Linked DNA regions of Arabidopsis thaliana. The protein of the gene in region 1 interacts with the protein of each later gene in a pairwise test. Each region holds a gene or a part of one and is shown in the gene's direction. Other genes may lie near its edges.

Region 1 (4,797 bases):
ATCTTAAGGGTTTCTATGTACTAATCTGATCGGACGGTCGTGGATGACTCCTTGTTTAGAAGGTGCTTTGTTGAGTTTATTACCTGATTAAGCAATTTCCTTCCAGACAAAAACAAATCTCATAATAGTCTGAGGTTTATTGATTTGTCTATTCCCAAATCATTTCTTAAAATTCTATAATGTTTCTTTTGTCATTCTAAATTTTAAAATTATACTGTAAATGTTATTGATATATTTAGTTCTTAATAGAGTTTTAAACCCTTTTTTCTAATGCATGTTAAGACAAAGAAATTTAATATGAAGTTCATTATAGAGATATGACACTCTAATTATCTGGAACATAACGGAATAAGATCTTAATCAAATTCTGGATTCCGTTATGTAGATTTTTATGGAATGACAACAAAAGAAAGAAAAAATAACTGGGCTTATTTTGGGCTTGATACCATAATGGCATTATGATGTATCAAATCTGCCATGATGTATTCTTGACCCACTGTAGGAAACCTGGATTGGTTTGGGCTTAATTGGATAAACAATCTGTATAGAATTTACTGGTTTCGTAATTCTCTAAGTCTCGGACCGCTCTATTATGTTATCGCAATTTATTATACCCAAGTAAATGTCCAAGACATCAATATCAGTTTTCTAGAGCCTAAAAGCAGTTTCGATTATTTGAGACAAAAAGTATCAATTAACATTAAATACTAGCTACCAAATTTATGTACTTCTTATTATTATCTCACATATTTTGTTACGAGTCGAGTTAAATGAATTATACGACTGTTTCATTCCATGCGCATTATAACGAAAGAAAACAAACTTAGAAAACAATGGCTGACCGGAATTACCGGTCACGGGTTTGTAATCGAAACCGGTAAATTCGTCTATGTGTCGCCAGTAGGACCTATTAGCCCCTGGTTTAACTCTTATTGCCCTTATTGGTCTAAGAATAGTGTCGTGAACCATCGAAAAAATCATTTATGATTCTATGTTCCCCAACGAAAAACAGAGTCACGTGACTTACGCATGTGACCCTACGCTGCTGTAATTAATGTTCTGCTCTTTTCCTTTGTCTAAACTTTTTTGACATCTCATTTCATATTGCATGTAAATAATATGACTAATATGAAATTAATACCGGACACTGAAAAACTTTTCAGTAAAAACTTTATACTTGTTCACTAAAAAAGGGATAGTTATCTATCTCTAACTTTTTTTATCCCAAATCATGAAACTTTTAATCGCTTTTATACAATGATTGATGTTCATTATATATTTTATTTTAGATTTTATTTCAATTTTGAAGTAGAAGTTTCAACATTTAGTTCTGTTCACATTGTTTTTTTGGTGGGAACATTCTTTTCATTGTTTACAAGATCCACACGCATATTAGTTGGGATTTCTTCTGATATTCGGTGAAAGATTAAACTAATGAAGAAGTATTGTACCTAATTAGTGTGTAGTGTACGATGATAGATAATTAGGAATATATTGTTAGACCATGATTTGTTTTCGACCGACGACAGTGAAAGTTGATGTACATATATAATGGTGAAACTTTTTTACCAAGAAAAAGTTAGTTGGAATGATAATTTAAAGGAGTAAAGCGACAACAAAGTGTAGACAAAAGGAACACTATTGAAGATCTCTCCCGAAGAATATATTGGACTGAAGTTTTTTTTTTTTGGTCTAATGTTAAATTATTGGACTGAAGTTGACAAACACAAACAAATATATATGGGAATAAAGTTTATTATATTTTCCAACGATTATAAGCAAAGGTAACATGAATGCGATTAAAATGATATTTTCAACTCTATTTAGAAAGTAAATAATGGTATTTAGAATATATATTTTTCTCGTTTTGTGAATGCTAGTGGATAATATAATCAAATTATATATTTTTCTCCTTAATCGAACCCATCAGTCGTGACGTGGGAGCTTAAAGATCAGGGCTGATTTCTTCTTCTTCTTTCTTCTTTTTTAGTTGACAGTGATTTCTTCTTCTTCTTCTTCTTTTGATACCAGGCTAATAGAAATTAAAACTGAAAAGATATCCGTACACATGCAATTACATCCACTAATGACAGTTTAGAAGATGCTAAGTGGCTATAACTATAAATGAGCCCACACCACACGAAGTAGAAGCTAATCACCAAACTGTTCACTTGCTTTCGTGGAGATATAAAAACCGCCAGTTACAGGAAAACGTGTCATTATAGGTAGGGTTCACTAGTTTTTTAGCTGACAAGTATAGATCGACTATAAATACAAAGTTGGAAACCTCGAGAGTCTCACACACTCAAGCCAAAAGTTAGTGCCACATTGTCTCATCACTTTCCGCACTTTTGTTGTTAACTAACTTTCATAAATAGATTAAGATATTAATGTCACCGGAGGAATACGTTAGGGTTTGGCCGGATTCCGGTGATCTTGGAGGAACTGAGCTGACCCTAGCTTTGCCTGGCACTCCGACAAATGCATCGGAAGGTCCAAAAAAGTTCGGGAACAAACGTAGATTCCTCGAGACCGTTGATTTAAAACTCGGGGAAGCACACGAGAACAATTATATCTCAAGCATGGTCACTAAGTACGGCATATATATATTATATTAATTTCATTTATCGTTCATATAGGTCATATGCATGTTTGATTGATCTTCTTAATTTATTGTGGTTTTAGTGACCAGTTGGTGGGCTGGCCGCCGGTAGCGACAGCGAGGAAAACAGTGAGGCGGAAATACGTGAAAGTGGCGTTGGATGGTGCGGCCTATCTCAGAAAGGTTGATCTTGGGATGTACGATTGCTATGGACAGCTTTTCACCGCTCTAGAAAACATGTTTCAGGGGATAATAACAATATGTAAGTGATCGAGATAAGTAGGAAAAAATAAAGATTTTGATGTGTTTGGATGGACTGACGAAGTGAAGGATATTATGGTAAATTTACTTACACTTGGGGTTTTGGATGGTGGTAGGTAGAGTGACAGAGTTGGAGAGGAAGGGAGAGTTTGTTGCTACTTACGAGGATAAGGACGGTGACTTGATGTTAGTCGGAGATGTGCCGTGGATGTGAGTTCTCGGAATTACCCTTTGTGTTGCTTTTACGTACTTTTCCTTTTTTATTCAAAACTAGAATTTCTGTACTATTTTGTTACTTACATTCATATCAAAACTAGAATTACTGTATTATTCTGCTGTGAAGGAAACTAAATTTTCTTGGGATTGATGATATTTAATTTGTGTAGGATGTTTGTGGAATCTTGCAAACGTATGAGGTTAATGAAAACCGGAGATGCTATTGGATTATAGGTCTCTATTCTGCTTCCCACAACGTAAACGCATCGGATCTTCGAAAGGCTATATAAGATTATGATCACAAATGCATTAAATACTGTAGAGATGTATACAATTGCATTTTTGAATTGCAATATGCTATATATGTAATTTCAAACCTTTTTTGGCCGTGGATTTTGTATGTAATGTACTACTATTGTTTAAATGATTTTACTTTTTTTTTTTTTAATTCAATAATTACAAACCACTTTTAAGCATCAGTGCCGACCACCACGATCCGGGCATGACGACATCGACACTCGACAAGACGGGATGCTCAAAGTTTTAATATGTTTTTTTTAAAAAAATTACACGTTTCATTTTTATGCATTCGAATTTGTGCATTAAATGATCCTAGAGATCGTAATATAAAAGCGGATTTTTTTTTTTGTAAGAATGCTAGGTCTTGTAACATTTTTCTCTAGCACTCGTAGACCTTACTGTTATTGATTACATGCAGGAATATCAATAAACGAAGAACTAAAAATGGAATTGAATACTTGAGATTGACATTAAATTATCCTAGAGATCGTAATATAAAAGCGGATTTCTTTCTTGTAACATTTTTCTCTAGCACTCTGTATATATCTTATTGTTATTGATTACATGGCGGAAACATCTATTATCAATAAACGAAGTGCCATTTGAAAATTTAAAATTTTAACATTTATCCAAAAATAAACTTATAGTTTTAGTAGTAATGTAAAAATAGAATTTTAAAAACATTTGTTAAAAAAAAAAACAAGTGTTAAAAGTTTAAATAGTGTGTAAACCATTTTAAATCTAGGACACTTTTTAGGGGTTTGCATGTTGTGTCCAAATATATATACAAAATTTAAAAATTTAACACTTATAAAAAACAAACCCTTATAGTTTTAGTAGTAATATAAAAATACAAGTTTAAAAACATTTGTAAATAAAAGAAAAAAAATGTTAAAAATTTAAATAGTGTGTAAACCATATTGAACCTATGACACCTCTTAAGGGTTTGGATGTTGTGTCCAAATATTTACACAAAATTTAAAAATTCAACACTTGTAAAAAATAAACCTTATAGTTTTAATAGTAATATAAAAATATAATTTTAAAAACATTTTTAAATAAAATAAAAATAAGTGTTAAAATAGTAATGTTTTAGTGAAGGTTTTGTACTAATTAGTTTTGGTTTTACTTAAAATAAGTTATAAAGAAAAGAAAACAATTCTTAGCAAAAAAAAAAAAGAAGCAAAAGAAAAGAATGAAGAAAGTAATACCTTGTTGGATTTGGTAGCAAAGAAAGCCCATTGGAAGCCCACCGTGAGCCCACTTGGAAAATTTGAGAAGCTTCTTTCTTCTTCCTTTCATCAAAAGCCCATTGGAAGCCCATTGTTGCTTGCGTCTTTGTTGGAAACTCGTCTGAAATTGGTCGTCTTCTTCATTCATTGTCGACACTGCGTTCGACTTGTCGTCTCCTATCAATA
Region 2 (5,972 bases), on another chromosome or scaffold:
CTCGTGGTCCCTCTCGCAGAGTTTATGTAACCATCTAATATATAACTTCATGTCTGGATATGGAGAATCCAAAACTTAAGAAATGCACGTATTAGCATTCGTAGTTGTATATATGTTATGTATTTTGCGTCAAATGCAGAACAAAATAAAGCAAGAAGAGACCAACAATCTTCATATGGAGAATTGTAAATTGTCCAAATCAGCAATATATAGATGTCTTGAACAATAAAAAGATAACCGAGTTTAACATTAGACCAAAAAAAAAGAAAGATAACCGCTACAGAATTTGTGACGAAAAGAAAAAAGCTTTGGAGAAAAAAACAGAGTAAGAACTGTTTTTGTTGTGTGAGAAGAGTTTGTCCTTAGGTCGCATAATCTTTTAGGATGTAGTTATATGTGTTAAGTGTAACACATGCATATCATTTACTTCTGCAATATATCTCTTCTGGAGTTTCGTAAGGTACTTATGGTTGGTTTGTCTTCGAAACTACCAACGAACAACTTAAAAAACATTGATCTTTTTAATAGCGTGAGTTTGATTTATGTTATCCTTGTTATGGTGCATATGTATTACGGAAACTTTGGTCTGTTTTAGATGGGTAAATAGTTGTATATGAGTAAATATGATATTGCCAGTGTTTTATATAAAGAAAAAGGGAAACGATGATAAAAGGTGAAAAAGAAGTTTAGGATCATCTTTGTTTTTTATTTTGTTTTCCGACTTTCAAATCAGACAAGACAACGAGGTATGGGTCTTTTAACATACAGAGACTCAACTTGAAAATTCTATCAAACCACCAATTAAAAAACCAGAGAAAACATTCAACTATCTTCTTAGAATCTAGACAAAATAAAAAGTGTATCATGCTGATTTTGAACAAATTATTAAAGAGATCTCAACCATCGTTTCATTAATATCTTTGACAATTCTAGAAGCCGTAGTAAATCTTGTCTTTTTATGTGTATATCTTGTTGAATTTGATAAGGATATTCAAAATAATGAGATATGTATGTTGAGTAATTGAGTAAAATCAGATCCCTTGTTTAATTTGACGATTAAACGCTTTTTTCATTATTTTTTTTCGCATTTTGTTGTGTATGTTCTCAATTACAAATTCCACTATAAGCATTTGGACTCTACAATGTCACTTTCTAATTCTGATATTTAATAAAACAATTATTTTGTATATGTATAAATAGTACCAGAAAAACGAACTTAATAAAATAATTGAATCAAAAGCAGATGCTGAACAAATAGCTGCAGCTTTTAGCAATTGTCTCCCATATGCTTTTCCTTTGTTTCAAAAATTGTATATACGAGGTTAAGTGAATGTTGCAATGAAATAAATGATGCAGTTTGTGCATTCATCAAGCGAACAAGTACGATTGATGTTTTCAGTGCAAAAACTAAAATAAAATACTACTAACAACTATATAGTGTAAATATATATAACTTTAACTTCTTTTTTTTTAAGTCTTCATACGCTGCGAACGATCAAAATATATTTACAAATTTACGACCAATATTTTAAAAATACTTCATTAAAGAATTGATGCTGCTGTCTGCACAGTTGAGAACGCAATTGGAAACTTTCGTGCATTCACTTTGTTCGCCGCAAATTGGATATGTGAACGTGGTCATCATTATTTATAGAATTATTCTATAAAACTTACTATAAAACACTAGATATAAAGCTGGATCATATAAAATGAATTTACTAAAAATTCGATAGTTAATTATAGCAGATGTTATGTTCCAATTTGAAAGCATACGAACGAGGTATATAGTTGAAAACACACACCGTAAAGTTAATAATTTTCACAACACAAGAACAAATCAAAGTCGCAAGTAATTTAACGCATGTCAGTAGCATGGGCTTCTTATATACTAGTCAATAGAATAAACTAGCAAACAAGCAACTAATGTATTCTTGTTTATCACGCCACGGGTTACAATATCATACAAAATTTGAATACTAATTAATGGTAACAAGTAAAAAAACAAATTACTAGAAATGGAAATACTTTTGTCAAACAACCAAGACGTATAACTTTCGTTTTCTATAGATTAATGGACTTCTTAAAAATCTCTCCATCAGATTAAACTTTGAGATATACAAATACAGTTTTTGTTTTCTTCTAAATGATATGAATATTAACTTTATCGATTTCATCCGTAGCAGATTTCCATTTTAAATAATAAACTATGAGAAAACAGATAAAGGTTGTATATTATTTGTTACCCCAAAAAAAAAAAAAACTAACTACGAGTAGTAGTTTAGTGTGTCTCACGTGCGACGAGGAAAAGTTTTGGGAGAGTAAAAACATTTAATATTTACGACTAGTTTGAAAAACCGTGAGCTGACACAAGCTCATTGCTAATGCTACAGTAACAGCTACCTTCACTTTTAACTAAATGACAGACCAATCATTTTAACCTCTGTTTTCTTAGCTGGCGCGTGACAGACACTCTCCCTCTCTCCATGCCCATAAAATCTCAAAGACTGTTTAAAAAAAAAAATGTTTTAGCTTTAACTGCTTTTTTTTTGTTGTTGGTGTAATGATATCACAGAGAGAAGAAAGAGAAGAGAAGAAGCAGAGAGTGATGGGAGATAAGAAATTGATTTCATCTTCTTCTTCTTCCTCGGTTTACGATACTCGTATCAATCATCATCTTCATCATCCTCCGTCTTCTTCCGACGAAATCTCTCAGTTTCTCCGGCATATTTTCGACCGTTCTTCTCCTTTACCTTCTTACTACTCCCCGGCGACGACTACAACGACGGCGTCTTTGATTGGTGTGCACGGGAGCGGTGACCCACATGCAGATAACTCGAGAAGTCTCGTTTCTCATCATCCACCGTCAGATTCTGTGCTTATGTCGAAACGTGTCGGAGATTTCTCTGAGGTTTTAATCGGCGGAGGATCAGGCTCAGCCGCCGCGTGTTTTGGTTTCTCCGGTGGTGGTAATAATAACAACGTTCAAGGAAATAGCTCTGGGACTCGAGTATCGTCTTCTTCCGTTGGAGCTAGTGGCAACGAGACAGATGAGTATGACTGTGAAAGCGAGGTTTTTTCTCAATCTCTGTTTTTTATCTTTTGCATGTTTTAAAAGTTGATTCTTTGTCTCTTTCCCGAGAAAATGTTTCTACAGAGATTTCTCTTTAACGGATCTGTACTTTATTTTCCCCCTTAAAATCCGCAATTTTTTTGGTTGTGATTTTGAGTGAAGTTTTGTCATTTGTGAGTGTAATAATGAATGCACACCGAGTGTTTGATAATTTGCTTCAATGAAAATACAGGAAGGAGGAGAAGCTGTAGTTGATGAAGCTCCCTCTTCCAAGTCAGGTCCTTCTTCTCGTAGTTCATCTAAAAGATGCAGAGCTGCTGAAGTTCATAATCTCTCTGAGAAGGTTTGGTTTAGAGTCTCTCCCAAAAGTAGAAACTTTCTTATTTGAGATTTATGTTTATCTTTCTTGTAACAGAGGAGGAGAAGTAGAATTAATGAAAAAATGAAAGCTTTACAAAGTCTCATCCCTAATTCAAATAAGGTAATGATACTATATATAGAGAGACATCTACATGAATCATTCTATTTTCTGTAGATTCTTTTTGTGTCTGATTATTGCAATGTGTTTATTGGGGAAGACGGATAAGGCTTCAATGCTTGATGAAGCCATTGAGTATCTGAAACAGCTTCAGCTCCAAGTTCAGGTCACTAAAGATACCTTATGTTTATCATTATAACCAAAATCCTAAAACCAGTCTATATTCTGACATAAGTCTTTTTTTGTTCTGATATTTGCAGATGTTGACTATGAGAAATGGAATAAACTTGCATCCTTTGTGTTTACCTGGAACTACATTACACCCATTGCAACTCTCTCAGATTCGACCCCCTGAAGCAACCAATGATCCTCTGCTTAATCATACCAATCAGTTTGCTTCGACTTCTAATGCACCGGAAATGATCAATACTGTGGCTTCTTCATACGCTTTGGAACCTTCTATTCGCAGTCACTTTGGACCTTTCCCTCTCCTTACTTCACCCGTGGTGCGTAGTTGAATTACACATTTTTCATTCTATAACCATAAAGCTAGTTTGCTTACTAATTTTTTTTTGTTACTTAAGGAGATGAGTCGGGAAGGTGGGTTAACTCATCCAAGGTTGAACATTGGTCATTCCAACGCAAACATAACCGGTAAAGTCTTGTTGTTTTGGAATCCTAAGGAAGTTTTAGGACATTTACAATGTTAATAACGTTACGATATTTGGGGATTTGCAGGGGAACAAGCTCTGTTTGATGGACAACCTGACCTAAAAGATCGAATTACTTGAACAGTGTCCCAACTTCGGGATCTCTATGTGTTCTTGTTTCTTAGAACGCAAGCCATAAAGCTGTCTGACAATGGAGATGCATTTAACTGTCTTTATTTTTTCTAAGGTTCTATTTAAAATCAATTGTTGGTGACACGAATTCTAGAGTCTAATCTTTTGGATCTAATAGCTATATATAAAAAGGACTGAAATTTTATTACAAAGTAATTGACTAATTGTTAGATTGTTGTATGTTTATGGTGGATGTAAATTTTCTAGATCATCTTCGTATTGTATTTGAGAGTTTGATACTCGATGGCTTTGGATATGTAAATTACCCCGATAAGCTTCTAGAGAAGTTTTCGATTCTACAAGATGGATTTGGTATCTTTAAGGTTGACCATGTTCTTTTGGTATCTCTTGTTCTCAAATTGATCATTTACAATACAATTTTTTAAAATCTTTTACCCTTCACATTTTTGTACTTACATTTGGTATATTAGTAATTTCATTTGTAAGTGTCTTTTAAAAGTTTTTCATTTATAAGTGTTGTTTTAAGATCTTTTATGATAATTAAAAAATGCTTAAATATCTTATTAACCCTTAATTAGTATACTTATAGCTTTAGTTCTCCAATTAATCTTTAGTAAGTAAAAGGGACAGAGCTAGAACTTTATTTAAAATTGGATTGAAAATACATAAATCTTATATTTTTTTCAAAAACTAGTATTGAACATACAATTTATTTATTTTATTTTATTTGTAAAACAACAATAAAAGTAAAATCATACAACGATATATTTTGAAAAAAGGAAAAGTAATTAGGATTCTCTTTCGGTGAAAATATCAGAGAACAAAATATATTTGAATGCGACTGTAGTTGAAACTTGAAAAAAATTTAGATACTAAAGTTTCGTCATTCTCTTTTTGTTAAAGACTCAGTGACGACCCTCTCCTAAAAAACACTCATAAATAAACTCGCTGGAGACGCCGGAACCAAAAACAGAGTTCTAATGGAGAAGAAAGAAAATGGTCTCGATGGAAAGCAATCGGGTCGGGTCATTAACGGACCCACTAACCCGATGGTCACACCTCTGCTCAACGATCTTTACCAATTCACCATGGCTTATGCTTATTGGAAAGCTGGCAAACAATCTGAGCGATCTGTGTTAGTATTCTTCAAAATTTACAAAAAAGTTCGATCCTTTGAATCCACACTGTAAAATCTCATCTTTGTTTTCAGGTTTGATCTGTATTTTCGTAAGAATCCTTTTGGTGGAGAATACACTATCTTTGCTGGTTTAGAAGAATGCATCAAATTTCTCGCTAATTTCAATTTGACTGATGAAGAGATCGATTTCGTTCGTGATTCGTTACCTGGATGTGAGGTATAACACAATCTCTCTTGCCAAAAGATTCGATTTTTGGCATTGTTTTTTAACTCTTTTAAAAATCAGGAAGCTTTCTGTGATTATCTTCGAGGGCTTGATTGTTCTGACATTGAAGTGTATGCCATTTCGGAAGGATCAGTTGTTTTTCCTAAAGTTCCTTTACTCAGAATCGAAGGTCCTGTTGCTGTGAGTTCTTATTATCTATCTCTAACTCTCATAATTGGAATGATCAGTTTCTGATTCCTCTTGTGCTTCTTTACTTA
Region 3 (4,896 bases), on another chromosome or scaffold:
GATGACTCTGGTTGAATTATCCTTTGACTTGACCAGCCGCTACGAATTGACCAACAAATTGAAACAATTAATAAATAGGGGAAGTTATATGAGTTATATTCATTTTTGTTTTTTTTATGTCTACCTTTCAAGCAATTCCCTTTTATATACCGAATTCATGTATTAAATTACTCTCGTTTCCATGGCTTCCCTATGTTTGTTACTTCTATTTTACATCAGAACTAGATTAGTTAATATTTTCTCTGTACGTCCAATTTTATAAATATTTTGGCTACAAACACACATATTAAGAACTTTGTTTTACTTACAAAAATAATTTAATATTTTAGTTAAAAAAATAATAATAAAGATAAAAAAATGATCACAAAATATTAAAAGCGTTTAAATTTATATAGAAAATGTAAGATATAAAGTATATCTAATAGAATGAAACAATATTAAGATAGTATTAGTTCTTTTTAACATTCCAATGAAATTTGATAATGTTTGTACCGGAGAATGATTCCTTCTCTAATTTTTTTTTTTAAAATAAAAATAAATTTTCTAGTTCTAGACATGTACATCTTTATCATATTGAGGATTAAAATATTATGTATGATTTTCTTCTAAATACCATTCGAAATCAGTGACTTTTAGATTTTATTTAAAATATTTTACTCGTTGTGCTATTTGTACCGGGTACTTTTACCAAAAGCTTATCTAAAAAAGTGGTAAAGATTTGGACAAAAAAGTCAGAACCAACATTACTTGAATAACGTTTTTTCGTAGAGTGAGTTTTGACAATGAGCAGTGTATTAATGGGAGAGACTCTTTCAGTGCAGTGGAAATTGTGGTTTCTGAATATAATAGGTAATTATGGTGACAATAATTATAAGTATTAGTATTTCCACTACTTTTAAATAGACAGCATATTTCCACAGCTTTAAGCACGCTCCTCTGATCGAAATTTCGCCTCGTGGATTTTGCAAATAGTGTTACAACAATTACCACCGGATTAAATATGATTTTTCTCATATTTAAAAAAGAAAAAAATGTGGTATAGTAAGTCATGTTGCATTCTTCAGAAAAAAGTAAGGCATTACAAAAATGTAAGGTCGTCCAGTGAGATGGTGGAAGATAAGCTTCATTGTCCAGAGAGAAGTAGTTTGGAAATAATTTTAATTTATGATATATAATGGATATATATGTACGTAAAATAATTAATTGTTGAGATATCAATCCGAATGAAGATGTAAGATCAACATAAACGAAGAAATCCGATATGCCGATCTTTGAAAGTATGGTTTGTTAATGAGTTTCAGTATTATTAATTGGATCTAGATATAATTTGGAATTAATAAGCTTCTGGGGATTGGTTGGCTACTAACGACGGTTTATGAACCATCCCGTAGCTGTAGTTATCAGTTGCAACGATATTAAAATAAAGGGACAAGAGACGAGTTTAAATTAAGACCAATTACTTTCAAGTTCAAAAACCAAGCTTAACTAATAACTACAATAACCAGTAAAATATTTTGGAGAAGTGAGAAAGGAACTGACAGGTAATATTCGGTTTTTATTTGGTGGATCTGTCATTGTCAATTTCGGAGAAATTACCAAATAGAAAAATAAAAAATGTAACAATATTCATATTTTTTCTTTTTAGTTTGTTGATCTCTCCAAGACTCCAAGTTAAAATCTCCAAACGAAGCAATACAAATCTTACCTTTACGAGCACAAAGTCGGATTTATGCGTTTAACGTCATGATGATTAGTAGATGTTTTGTGGTGGTCAAGAATATAATATGCAAACAATTAATGATGGGTCTAGAAGAAGTTAATGTTGTAACAATGAATACTCGTCAGACATTTTGGAAGAGAACACACAAAAATTAAATTTTTGTGTGTCAAAAAGTCAGTCCTCTCCTTAGCGTTTTCCTTGCGTCCTAATAATGCGAAAGGTAAAAGCGTCATATTTATTGGGTCCACGTATAGATGCGAAAAGACTCGTTCTAAAAACTCAAGCCCAAAAGACTTTTACCGGGTCGGATATATCATTGATTACAAAGGATCACTAAGTCAACAGAAATGACTTGACCAAATCGATCTTATGATAGATAGACACACGACACAAACTCTCTTTATATAAATCTCAAGAAGATTCTTATATGTGAGTCCAAAGAGCAAAAAGGAAGAAATAGAAACCAAAGCCATGGAGAAGATGATAGAACCACGGGACAACACAAGAGAATCAGAAGATGAGGATGCGTTAAAGCTTCCAGGGTTTAGGTTTCATCCGACGGATGAGGAGCTTGTAGGGTATTATCTCTCTAAAAAAGTGCTTCTCAAAAAAACGAGCAAGATTGATGAGATCGTCAGCCAAATTGATATCTATAAATTTGATCCGTGGGATCTTCCAAGTAAGTTTGTTTTACTCACTCTTGCTTTTTTCTGTTTTTTGCACTCCAAACCATGCAAACACAAATAGAAAAAAAATTAGGTCTAACTTTTATGAGAAAAACAAAAGTAAAGTCGTGTATGCATGTTTGTGAAGTAAAATTAACACATAAATTATTGTTATAAACTGATGATCAAACATAATTTTTGTTTGAAGGGTCGAGGAATACAGAGAAGGAGAGCTACTTCTTTTGTAAGAGAGGAAGGAAATACAGAAACAGCATAAGACCGAACCGAGTGACTGGTTCCGGTTTCTGGAAAGCCACAGGGATAGACAAGCCTGTCTATTCCGATGGATCCAACAAAGCCGTGATCGGTCTAAAGAAGACACTCGTTTATTACCTAGGAAGCGCCGGGAAAGGAAACAAGACGGATTGGATGATGCACGAGTTTCGTCTCCCTACAGCCAATGACACAATCCCCGGTGGCCCTACACACTCTAACCCTACTCCAACTTCCTTGCTACACGCGGTAAGTTTGCTATCTCTTGATCATGATCATGCATGGTTGGCCACTATAAACGCTTCACATGGCAAAAATACATAGGGTTTGAGAAAGAATGCTCATGGATGGTTCTTATTAACTATATAATTGCAGGAAGTATGGACGTTATGCCGGATATTTAAGAGAACTGTGTCTAGTCGAAAATACACTCCGGACTGGAGAGAATTAGCAAATGGCAAACGTGTGAAGCAGCAACAATCTAATTACCAAGAAGCTTATATAAATTTTGGGGACAATGAAAGTAGTAGTAGTACCAACGTGATGAACGTTAGGGAAGGCAAAGGGAACTACGAGAGAAGCGTTTTCCAGCTTCAGCAAACGCCTTATCAACATCAAAACCAGCCAATTCTCATGGACACCACACACGTTGATTCGTTTCAACATTTCTCCAACGATAACATTCACCATGAAACCTACGAGACTTGGCCGGACGAGCTTCGATCGGTTGTGGAATTTGCTTTCCCACCTTCTTTTCTTAGTTAGATCTCTAGAATAATTAACAACTAATATGTATACATATTACATATTACTAGCTTGGACGTGTTGTATCATCAGATCTCTACTGTATACATGGATCGTGTGTATATGAATATGCACCTGTTTGAATTCTCAGGTTGATCCACACGTATATAGTATGTATTAATGTCAATTTAATCTCGGGAACTATTTGCATATTTTGTTTTATTAGCCCTCTTATTTTATGTTTTTCGGTTAGACGAATAGTGGACTTGTGGTCTTGTTATCTTTAATAAAGTAACAAAAGCGTTTAAAAAAACATTAAGAAGCCCACAAAGGAAACAAAGCCCATTAGGTGGAGGAGATGAAACGATGGAACTTCTTGTCTTGTCACGGATGAGAGAAATATTGGAGAGAACCATTGGAGAGAAAGCAGAGTTACTTGCCAATTTCGAATTCTGAGAGCGAAGAGCCGAGATTCTGTTTGTAGTTTGGATGATGAATACGATTGTTCATGTTCCTTTTATCTCCAGATTTCGTAAATTCGTCAATTTAAGAGACGATTAGCTCAGTTTACAATCGAGTCAGTATATATCGAATTAAACTGCAGAGGTTTTGGGTGTTCCCGAGACATGACTAGGATATGGTTCAATAAACAGTTGGAATTGGCGTGAAAATTGTAGATAGGTTAAGCTTTATACTTCAAATCATGCAATCGAGTAGTCTGATATCATTTTACTGACTGATTCCACTGGTTATCCAGTAGCCAACTATGTACGTGTGATTGATTGTGTAGTAATTTCCGTCTTGTACTTTGTAAGTTGGGTTCTTATTCTGCTGCATTTGGCTATTCCGTGTCTGATGACCTTTGTTTTTTCCTTTTGCAGCTTTGTTAGAGTCTCATTTAGATCCATGTCTCTTTGCTTTAATTGGTCACAATGCTTCTTCTGGTTTTATTGCAGCGGAAACGGTTTATTGAACAAACGAAGACTCTTTATGGTATGAATTTCCTGGCATCTGTTTCAAGTTTACTTTCTAAAACCTGGAAGTTCGGCACATGAGCAGTTCCTTTTAGAACAGTTTGTTTACTTAAACCTTTGACGCCCTTTTGTGTACTGGTATAAACCTCCTGCCTCTTCTCTCATCTGTTTCAGGCTTCGATTCCACCCTTCATATTACAGTCGCAATTACAAACTAGTGTCAATGAGAGAACCCAATTCGATCAGAGGTATGCTTTCTCTTCTTGACAACAAGTAAAGTAAACAGGGTTTCTGTTTCTCCACTTCCTTTTATGGTTTTGGTTTTGAAAAGTGAAATCTTTATGTGAAAGTTCCATTTTTTTGTTTTAATAGGATTTGAGATTAATGAGTAATTTAAAATAAGTGAGCCTATTTAGGCCCTAAAGACAAAAAAAATCCTAACTTTTTGTCTTTTTTTATTAAACTAAAATATCAGGGTCATGATTTACAATCTTTATTTTTTCTTGATACTTTTCATGAT
Region 4 (6,912 bases), about 17 Mb from region 1:
TTGTATTCATCACATTAATCCTAAAATATATCAATAGTGCTTTTTGTTTGTTGAATTTTGAAATTTGCTATATATTAATTATTTTAAAAATCTTATCACGTAACTGGTGAAAAAAACAAAATCTGAAGTAATCAATATCGGTCAGAATATCTATCTTTTGACATAAGTCGTTACAGAACGGGTATGGATAAAAACAAATGGCCGATCGAACAGAGGAAACTAATCAAAAATCACACAAATTCATGATATCCGCTCTATGTCCACTCCTGTGACATTCTTATGATTTTTGTACATGTTGTGAAACTCGTTCTCTTTTCTTTCTTTTATTCATATTATGTTATATATCTCTTTGTACATCCAATTTATCCATTAAATTTATATTTCGTCTTATAATCGTGTGGGTTTCTATAGTCAATAATACTATGACTTGGCGCCATATATATTTGTATATCTTCAGAAAAAATGTTAAAGTGTTTTTAAGGGCAAAAATATTAAAAATTTTATAAACTTTTAAATTTGGGACGATTTAATCTTCAACTTCACTGAAATAAATAAATCGTAAAGTTTTTTATGACTTCCTAAATAATAAATAAAGTTTTTGTTGACTTGCCATTTGAGTAATGTCGTTAAATAGGTTAACAATTTTATTTTTTATGACGACGTCATTTATTGTAGAGACAAAACGACGTCGTTTATTGTAGAGACAAAACGACGTCGTTTATTACAGAGACAAAACGACGTCATTTATTACAGAGACAAAACGACGTCGTTTATTGCAAGGACAAAACGACGTCGTTTTGTGTGTTAAAACAAATTTAAACCCTAAATCTCCATCTATCACAAACCGCAGACCCAACAATCATCTTCTCTATCTCCATGTCGGCTCTCTTGGTGAATTTACTCTTCAACAAAAGAAGAAGAAGAAGATGATGAGTTATAAGAAGAAGATGAGTTATAAGAAGAAGATGAGTTATAAGTTTTTTTTATGTTGTCTGACTAATGTGTTATAATTTTTTTTTTTTTGTGGGTGTTATATTTACGGATGTCAAGTTGGTTAAACCAAATCAAACCAATCTATATTTATATAAATTTAGATTCTAATGGATAATGAGTCAATCTAATTCATTTAGCAAATGGTTTGGATAAAACAATTAGTCATTTAAATTATTGAATTAATGAATTAAATAAGTTTATTCAATTAATAATTTCTCTATAGATGATAAAAAAAAATTCTATAAGCTAAATAATTATCATTAATAATAATTAATAACTATTATAATTATCAATATAAAACATAGAGCAAAAATGCTTAACTGACATTTAGGTTGAGAGGCAGCGAGAAGCCCTTGTACATTTTTGATGGAATTCATCATACTATAAGCCACATCCCCTTGTAAGGCCAAACCATCACCACCACCGGTGATCTACCCCTGATACCAAAGACATCCCAATAGGCATCGGATACATGCAAATTCACATCATAGTTAAATGGAAAGGGGAAGCTAAATGGAAAAGAGAACATGCCCTTGGAAATTTCTCCAAAGAGCGACAATATATGAGAAAGCCGGTTTATATGGGATCCTTAAAAACTTAAAGAGGAAGCAAAAAAAAAATAACCTAACATGAGATGTACCATAGATCCCATATGAAAGGTTTGATCATAATGCTAGAGAATTCCTATTAATGCAATCAGAATCAAGCAAAAACTCATATTTAAAATTTATATGGCTACTTTTAAACAAATTTCATAGAAAAAAATATTTTGTTGTAAGTACTAAAATTTTCCTATATCACTCAACTTATATATGAGTAATGCATATGTTGAAAAGAAAAAGCTAGCAAGAACTCCTATTTAAATTTATATGGCTATCTATAAACAAAATTCAAAGATTTTTTTTCATTGTAAGTATTAAAAATGTATTATATTACTCAACTTATATATGAATAATGCATATGTTGATTTTGGTAACTTAATCAATAAACATATAAGAAAATTGATTTTCTTATGTGTAGTCAAAATATTAATGACATTTCTCTAAATTACCTTTATTAATTTTTGGTAACCTTATTAAATTTAGTATTCAAATCTAAGGAAGTATTTTAATGTATTTTGATAGTTCTTACCTATAAATGTGATATTTTGTGCTATCATGGTCGCGAGAGAAGTTGAGGAAAGGGAGAAAGTTTTATAATAATTGTTGAGATAACATATTTTGGTATACCGATATTTGGATACGAGGTTATGGAAACTGGCAACGTTGTGAATGCACAACCTGAATTATCAGGCATAAGTAAGAAATTTTAACTTTTTTATTTTCTCTTATTGAAAACTTGTTTTGGTTATAATTTTTTGGTTTTTGTTCGGCAGTTGATGGATCCAAGAGCTATATGTACGAGCAGTTATGGAAACTCTGTGCGGGACCTTTGTGTGATATTCCAAAACTTGGAGAAAATGTTTATTACTTTCCTCAAGGCAATATAGAGCTTGTGAGTTCTCCCTCTCTTCTCTCTCTCTCTCTCTCTCCCTCTCTTCTCTCTCTCTTCTCTTTCTCTCTTCTCTCTCTCTTTCTTCTTTCTATCTCCCTTTCTTCTCTCTCTCTTCTTTCTCTCTATCTCTCTCTTGTGTATGAAACCTTTTGACGGCCTTTTCAGGTTGATGCATCTACAAGAGAAGAGTTGAATGAGTTACAACCAATTTGTGATCTTCCTTCTAAGCTTCAATGCCGTGTTATTGCAATTCATCTTAAGGTATATCTCTATTATGTTTTAGCAAATACGCATGATATCTATATTTGATTTCATTGTAAAAAGAAGTAATTGGTTAATTGTTTGATGTTTGATTTTAGGTGGAAAACAATAGTGATGAGACTTATGCTGAGATCACTTTGATGCCAGATACAACTGTAAGTGAAAATTTAGTATTTCTCTTTTATTTTCAGTCAATTGTATTTTTCTCCTATTATATCTCATTGATTTTCTGATTTTGTTAAATCCTTAGCAAGTTGTAATCCCTACTCAGAGTGAAAATCAATTTAGGCCATTAGTTAATTCCTTTACGAAGGTTTTAACGGCCTCTGATACAAGCGCTTATGGTGGATTCTTTGTTCCGAAAAAACATGCCATTGAATGTCTCCCTCCACTGGTATTTAATGTTATAATTTTTTTAAATGAATTTGAATTTTAAGATTTCATTAGACATTACATATTAAATTTTGGTTTAGGATATGTCTCAGCCTCTACCGGCACAAGAACTTCTTGCTAAAGATCTCCATGGTAATCAATGGAGATTCAGACACAGCTATAGAGGTAATAATTCATTTTATTCAAATCATTCAAACACAGCTATTGAGGTAATAAATCCTAGAGAAGTAACTAATAATCTTCTTATTCCATGCAGGTACACCGCAAAGACATTCGTTAACAACTGGTTGGAATGAATTCACAACATCGAAAAAGTTGGTTAAAGGAGATGTTATTGTATTCGTTAGGTATAATATTGATTCTTGTTATATATCTTTTGGTTTTGGAGTTTTGGACTTTTAAACTATTTACTTGTGGTTTTAGGGGAGAGACTGGAGAGTTACGAGTTGGTATCAGACGAGCAAGACATCAACAAGGGAATATACCTTCATCAATAGTATCAATAGATTGTATGAGACATGGGGTAATTGCTTCCGCAAAGCATGCTCTTGATAACCAATGTATATTCATTGTGGTTTACAAGCCAAGGTAATTCAAAGAACCATTTGAACTCACATTTTAGATTATATTGATTTATCAATAGATTAGTTCCTTCAACATATAGGTTTATATTTTGTGTCTTTCTAAGTATCAGGTCAAGTCAATTTATTGTCAGTTACGACAAATTCTTAGACGCTATGAACAATAAGTTCATTGTCGGTTCAAGATTTACAATGCGGTTTGAGGGTGATGATTTCTCTGAAAGAAGGTAACATTAGATGAAAAAAAATTTCTGCATAAATATATTTATAATGTTTAATATTATCAATGATAACACATTTTGTTCAATTGATTAAGATATTTTGGGACAATTATTGGAGTTAATGATTTCTCTCCTCATTGGAAGTGTTCAGAGTGGCGCAGCTTAGAAGTAAAATTTCATTCACACTTTATAACATTCTTTTAGGAATACGTTTTTGAGTGCAATAAATAACATATCACTAATTAACTTTAATTTTGCAGGTTCAGTGGGATGAATTTGCATCATTTTCGAGACCTAATAAAGTGTCACCCTGGGAGATCGAACATTTAATGTCTGCGTTAAATGTTCCGCGATCATCTTTGCTCAAGAACAAGCGTTTACGAGAAGTTAATGAATTCGGTATAAAAATACACTCTTATAATCTTTTATTTAAAGGATTAATCTTCTATTTAATGAATTTGAGACTCTTGAATACCTTCTCAATATTCTTGTTTTATATACATGTTCTTCATCATCACATATCTTGCCTCCTATATTGACACAAGGACAAGAAATTGGACAACTAAGCGTCGCCTCCCCGATGAATACTTCTCTTCGTTATCGTGATACAACTGAAGATGCTATGAATCCTTCTAGATTGCTAATGAGCTACCCTGTCCAACCAATGCCCAAACTAAATTACAATAACCAAATGGTTACACAAATAGAAGAAAATATAACAACCAAGGCAGTCACTAATTTTAGGCTGTTTGGAGTCTCTCTAGCCATTCCTCTAGTGATCAAAGATCCCATTGAAGAAATTGGCTCGGATATTTCGAAACTTACTGAAGGAAAAAAGTTTGGTCAAAGCCAAACTTTGAGATCACCAATAGAGATCCAAAGCAAGCAGTTTGGTTCTACTAGAACTTGTACCAAAGTAAGTATAAGATCAATATTCTTATTCCTTATATATGAAACTTTTTCTCATTGTACTCAACTCATGCAATCTTGATATGGAACAGGTTCAAATGCAAGGTGTAACAATAGGAAGAGCTGTGGATTTAAGTGTTCTTAATGGATATGATCAGCTAATACTAGAATTGGAGAAGCTCTTTGATCTCAAAGGCCAACTACAAACTCGCAACCAATGGAAAATAGCTTTCACAGATAGTGACGGGTATGAGATGCTTGTTGGAGACGATCCATGGCCGTGAGTTTCCTTTCTATTTCTATTGATTAAAAGATTAGTTAAAATCTTGAGAGACATTGATATTTCATTTTTGTGTTGTTTGCATGTAGTGAATTCTGCAAAATGGTGAAGAAGATATTGATATATTCAAAAGAGGAGGTCAAAAACCTAAAGTCCAGTAAGAGTCTCTCAAGTTGAATTAAGAATAAAAAAATATGTAATAAAAAGGGGTCAAAAATGTTATCGGTGTCTCGTTCTATTTTTATTTTTCTCTTATTTGTTGTTGCATGCATTTGTATTATGCACTTTTGTTTCCATCGTCCATAAATGAAATAAAATCCTCTTGTTGTCGTGATATTGAGCTTTCTTTCTAATTTATACAATCTACATATCACATCTACATTCTAAAAATTTGAGTGTAATATTTATTTTATGATATTTTGAAAAGAAATTTGTGTAACACGATTTGGGAATTTAGGCTTTAATTTGTTTCAACAGACAAAACGACGTACAATAAACGATGTTGTTTTGTTTTAACAGAGCAAATAAACGAGACATTAACATCGTAAAAAAATCTGTTAACCTATTTAACGACATGACTCAAGTGGCAAGTCAACAAAAACTGTGTCATTTATTTAGAAAGTCAACAAAAACTTTACGATTTATTTGTCTTCCGTGAAGTTGTAGATTAAATCGTCCCAAATTTAAAAATTTGTGATTTGTTTTGACATTTTTCCTTATTTTTAAGTGTATATTCAATGAACTAGCATAGTAAAGTTAACTACTATGTTGGCTGCTTGGTTCTATTTATTATATAACAATAATTTACAGAGAACAATGCGACTAACCTAGAGAATTGCGTTTTTGACCAATTCTCTTTCAATAAGAAATCAATCCAAGAATCAATTAGATCTTGGTGAAAATCTAAAAAGTTTTTCTTTACTTTACTTTACTTTCTTGCGTTTCAATAAAGCTCCATATGAGCTATTCAATTTTCAATTCTAAATTGCTATGTCTATAATCTCATTTGAGTACAAACATATGTTGCTTTGGATTTGATTTCAGGTAGTTTTGTAAATTATTGTTCTCATGTAGAATTTCTAGTTAAACATTGCGGCTGAGGAAAGTATTTTTTTTAATGGTTTTATTTTATTAAGAGATGTTAGAACTAAAAAAGATATTTAAGAATTTGATCATTTAAAAAAGATTTACCAATCTATAGTTTAAATTATTGATAGAAAATAAAAGATATTTTGAATTCTATTTTGCATTTTGTTGTCTACTTCATAAACCTGTTTCAACGAGGAACCGAATATTCAATTAGGTCATGTATGTTTACTCAGAAGGTTCGTCTATATGAAAATGAGAAATGATGTTAGTTTAGTGACAAAAATGAGCAACATCCACATAGATCATCTGAATGGATTTTTCTAATTTAGGCAAATTGTCAAACTCATTACTCCTCTAGATGAACTTAATTGGAGCATTTGGATGAAGAGGATTCAATCAAAAATAACCAATGACAAATATGACATCATTTATGATCATATCAGATAATGTAATTTTTTTTATATAGAGAGTTCTCATTTTCTATTTTAAAAATCACATTTTGCATAAAAAAGAACTCTAAAAATCATGAATTCGCGGATTATCATTTTCCATCAAAATCACAAAATCGTAGAATTGTGTTTTTCCCATTAAAAATGTGAAATCACTAGTTTTGTTTATGGAAACTTGTGAAAATGTCTTTCCAATAAAATGTTCAATTGTAGAATTATGGAACAAAATATTTCCAGCAAAT

Evidence for each region.
Region 2: the proteins of IAA15 (region 1) and SPT interact in a two-hybrid assay, tested with the Arabidopsis thaliana proteins (one large-scale study listed by BioGRID).
Region 3: the proteins of IAA15 (region 1) and AT3G12910 interact in a two-hybrid assay, tested with the Arabidopsis thaliana proteins (one large-scale study listed by BioGRID).
Region 4: the proteins of IAA15 (region 1) and ARF20 interact in a two-hybrid assay, tested with the Arabidopsis thaliana proteins (one large-scale study listed by BioGRID).

What each region holds. Positions count from the first base shown.
Region 1 is NC_003070.9:30,220,296-30,225,092, reverse strand, and holds IAA15 (indole-3-acetic acid inducible 15), read left to right. Parts: upstream 1-2,323; 5' UTR 2,324-2,390; coding exon 2,391-2,593; intron 2,594-2,685; coding exon 2,686-2,872; 3' UTR 2,873-3,073; intron 3,074-3,249; 3' UTR 3,250-3,464; downstream 3,465-4,797.
Region 2 is NC_003075.7:17,411,607-17,417,578, forward strand, and holds SPT (basic helix-loop-helix (bHLH) DNA-binding superfamily protein), read left to right. Parts: upstream 1-2,476; 5' UTR 2,477-2,560; coding exon 2,561-3,070; intron 3,071-3,302; coding exon 3,303-3,413; intron 3,414-3,485; coding exon 3,486-3,551; intron 3,552-3,648; coding exon 3,649-3,714; intron 3,715-3,808; coding exon 3,809-4,054; intron 4,055-4,132; coding exon 4,133-4,202; intron 4,203-4,286; coding exon 4,287-4,339; 3' UTR 4,340-4,780; downstream 4,781-5,972. Other genes in the region: NAPRT1 (nicotinate phosphoribosyltransferase 1), read left to right, coding at 5,332-5,486, 5,562-5,706, 5,776-5,895. UniProt on the Arabidopsis thaliana protein: Transcription factor that plays a role in floral organogenesis. Promotes the growth of carpel margins and of pollen tract tissues derived from them.
Region 3 is NC_003074.8:4,107,226-4,112,121, forward strand, and holds AT3G12910 (NAC (No Apical Meristem) domain transcriptional regulator superfamily protein), read left to right. Parts: upstream 1-2,149; 5' UTR 2,150-2,191; coding exon 2,192-2,399; intron 2,400-2,593; coding exon 2,594-2,907; intron 2,908-3,033; coding exon 3,034-3,423; 3' UTR 3,424-3,624; downstream 3,625-4,896.
Region 4 is NC_003070.9:12,925,854-12,932,765, reverse strand, and holds ARF20 (auxin response factor 20), read left to right. Parts: upstream 1-2,242; coding exon 2,243-2,291; intron 2,292-2,368; coding exon 2,369-2,487; intron 2,488-2,652; coding exon 2,653-2,748; intron 2,749-2,846; coding exon 2,847-2,903; intron 2,904-2,998; coding exon 2,999-3,142; intron 3,143-3,221; coding exon 3,222-3,306; intron 3,307-3,397; coding exon 3,398-3,488; intron 3,489-3,564; coding exon 3,565-3,729; intron 3,730-3,835; coding exon 3,836-3,949; intron 3,950-4,038; coding exon 4,039-4,111; intron 4,112-4,203; coding exon 4,204-4,342; intron 4,343-4,488; coding exon 4,489-4,859; intron 4,860-4,944; coding exon 4,945-5,132; intron 5,133-5,221; coding exon 5,222-5,309; 3' UTR 5,310-5,463; downstream 5,464-6,912. Other genes in the region: AT1G35242 (uncharacterized protein), read right to left, coding at 1,370-1,522.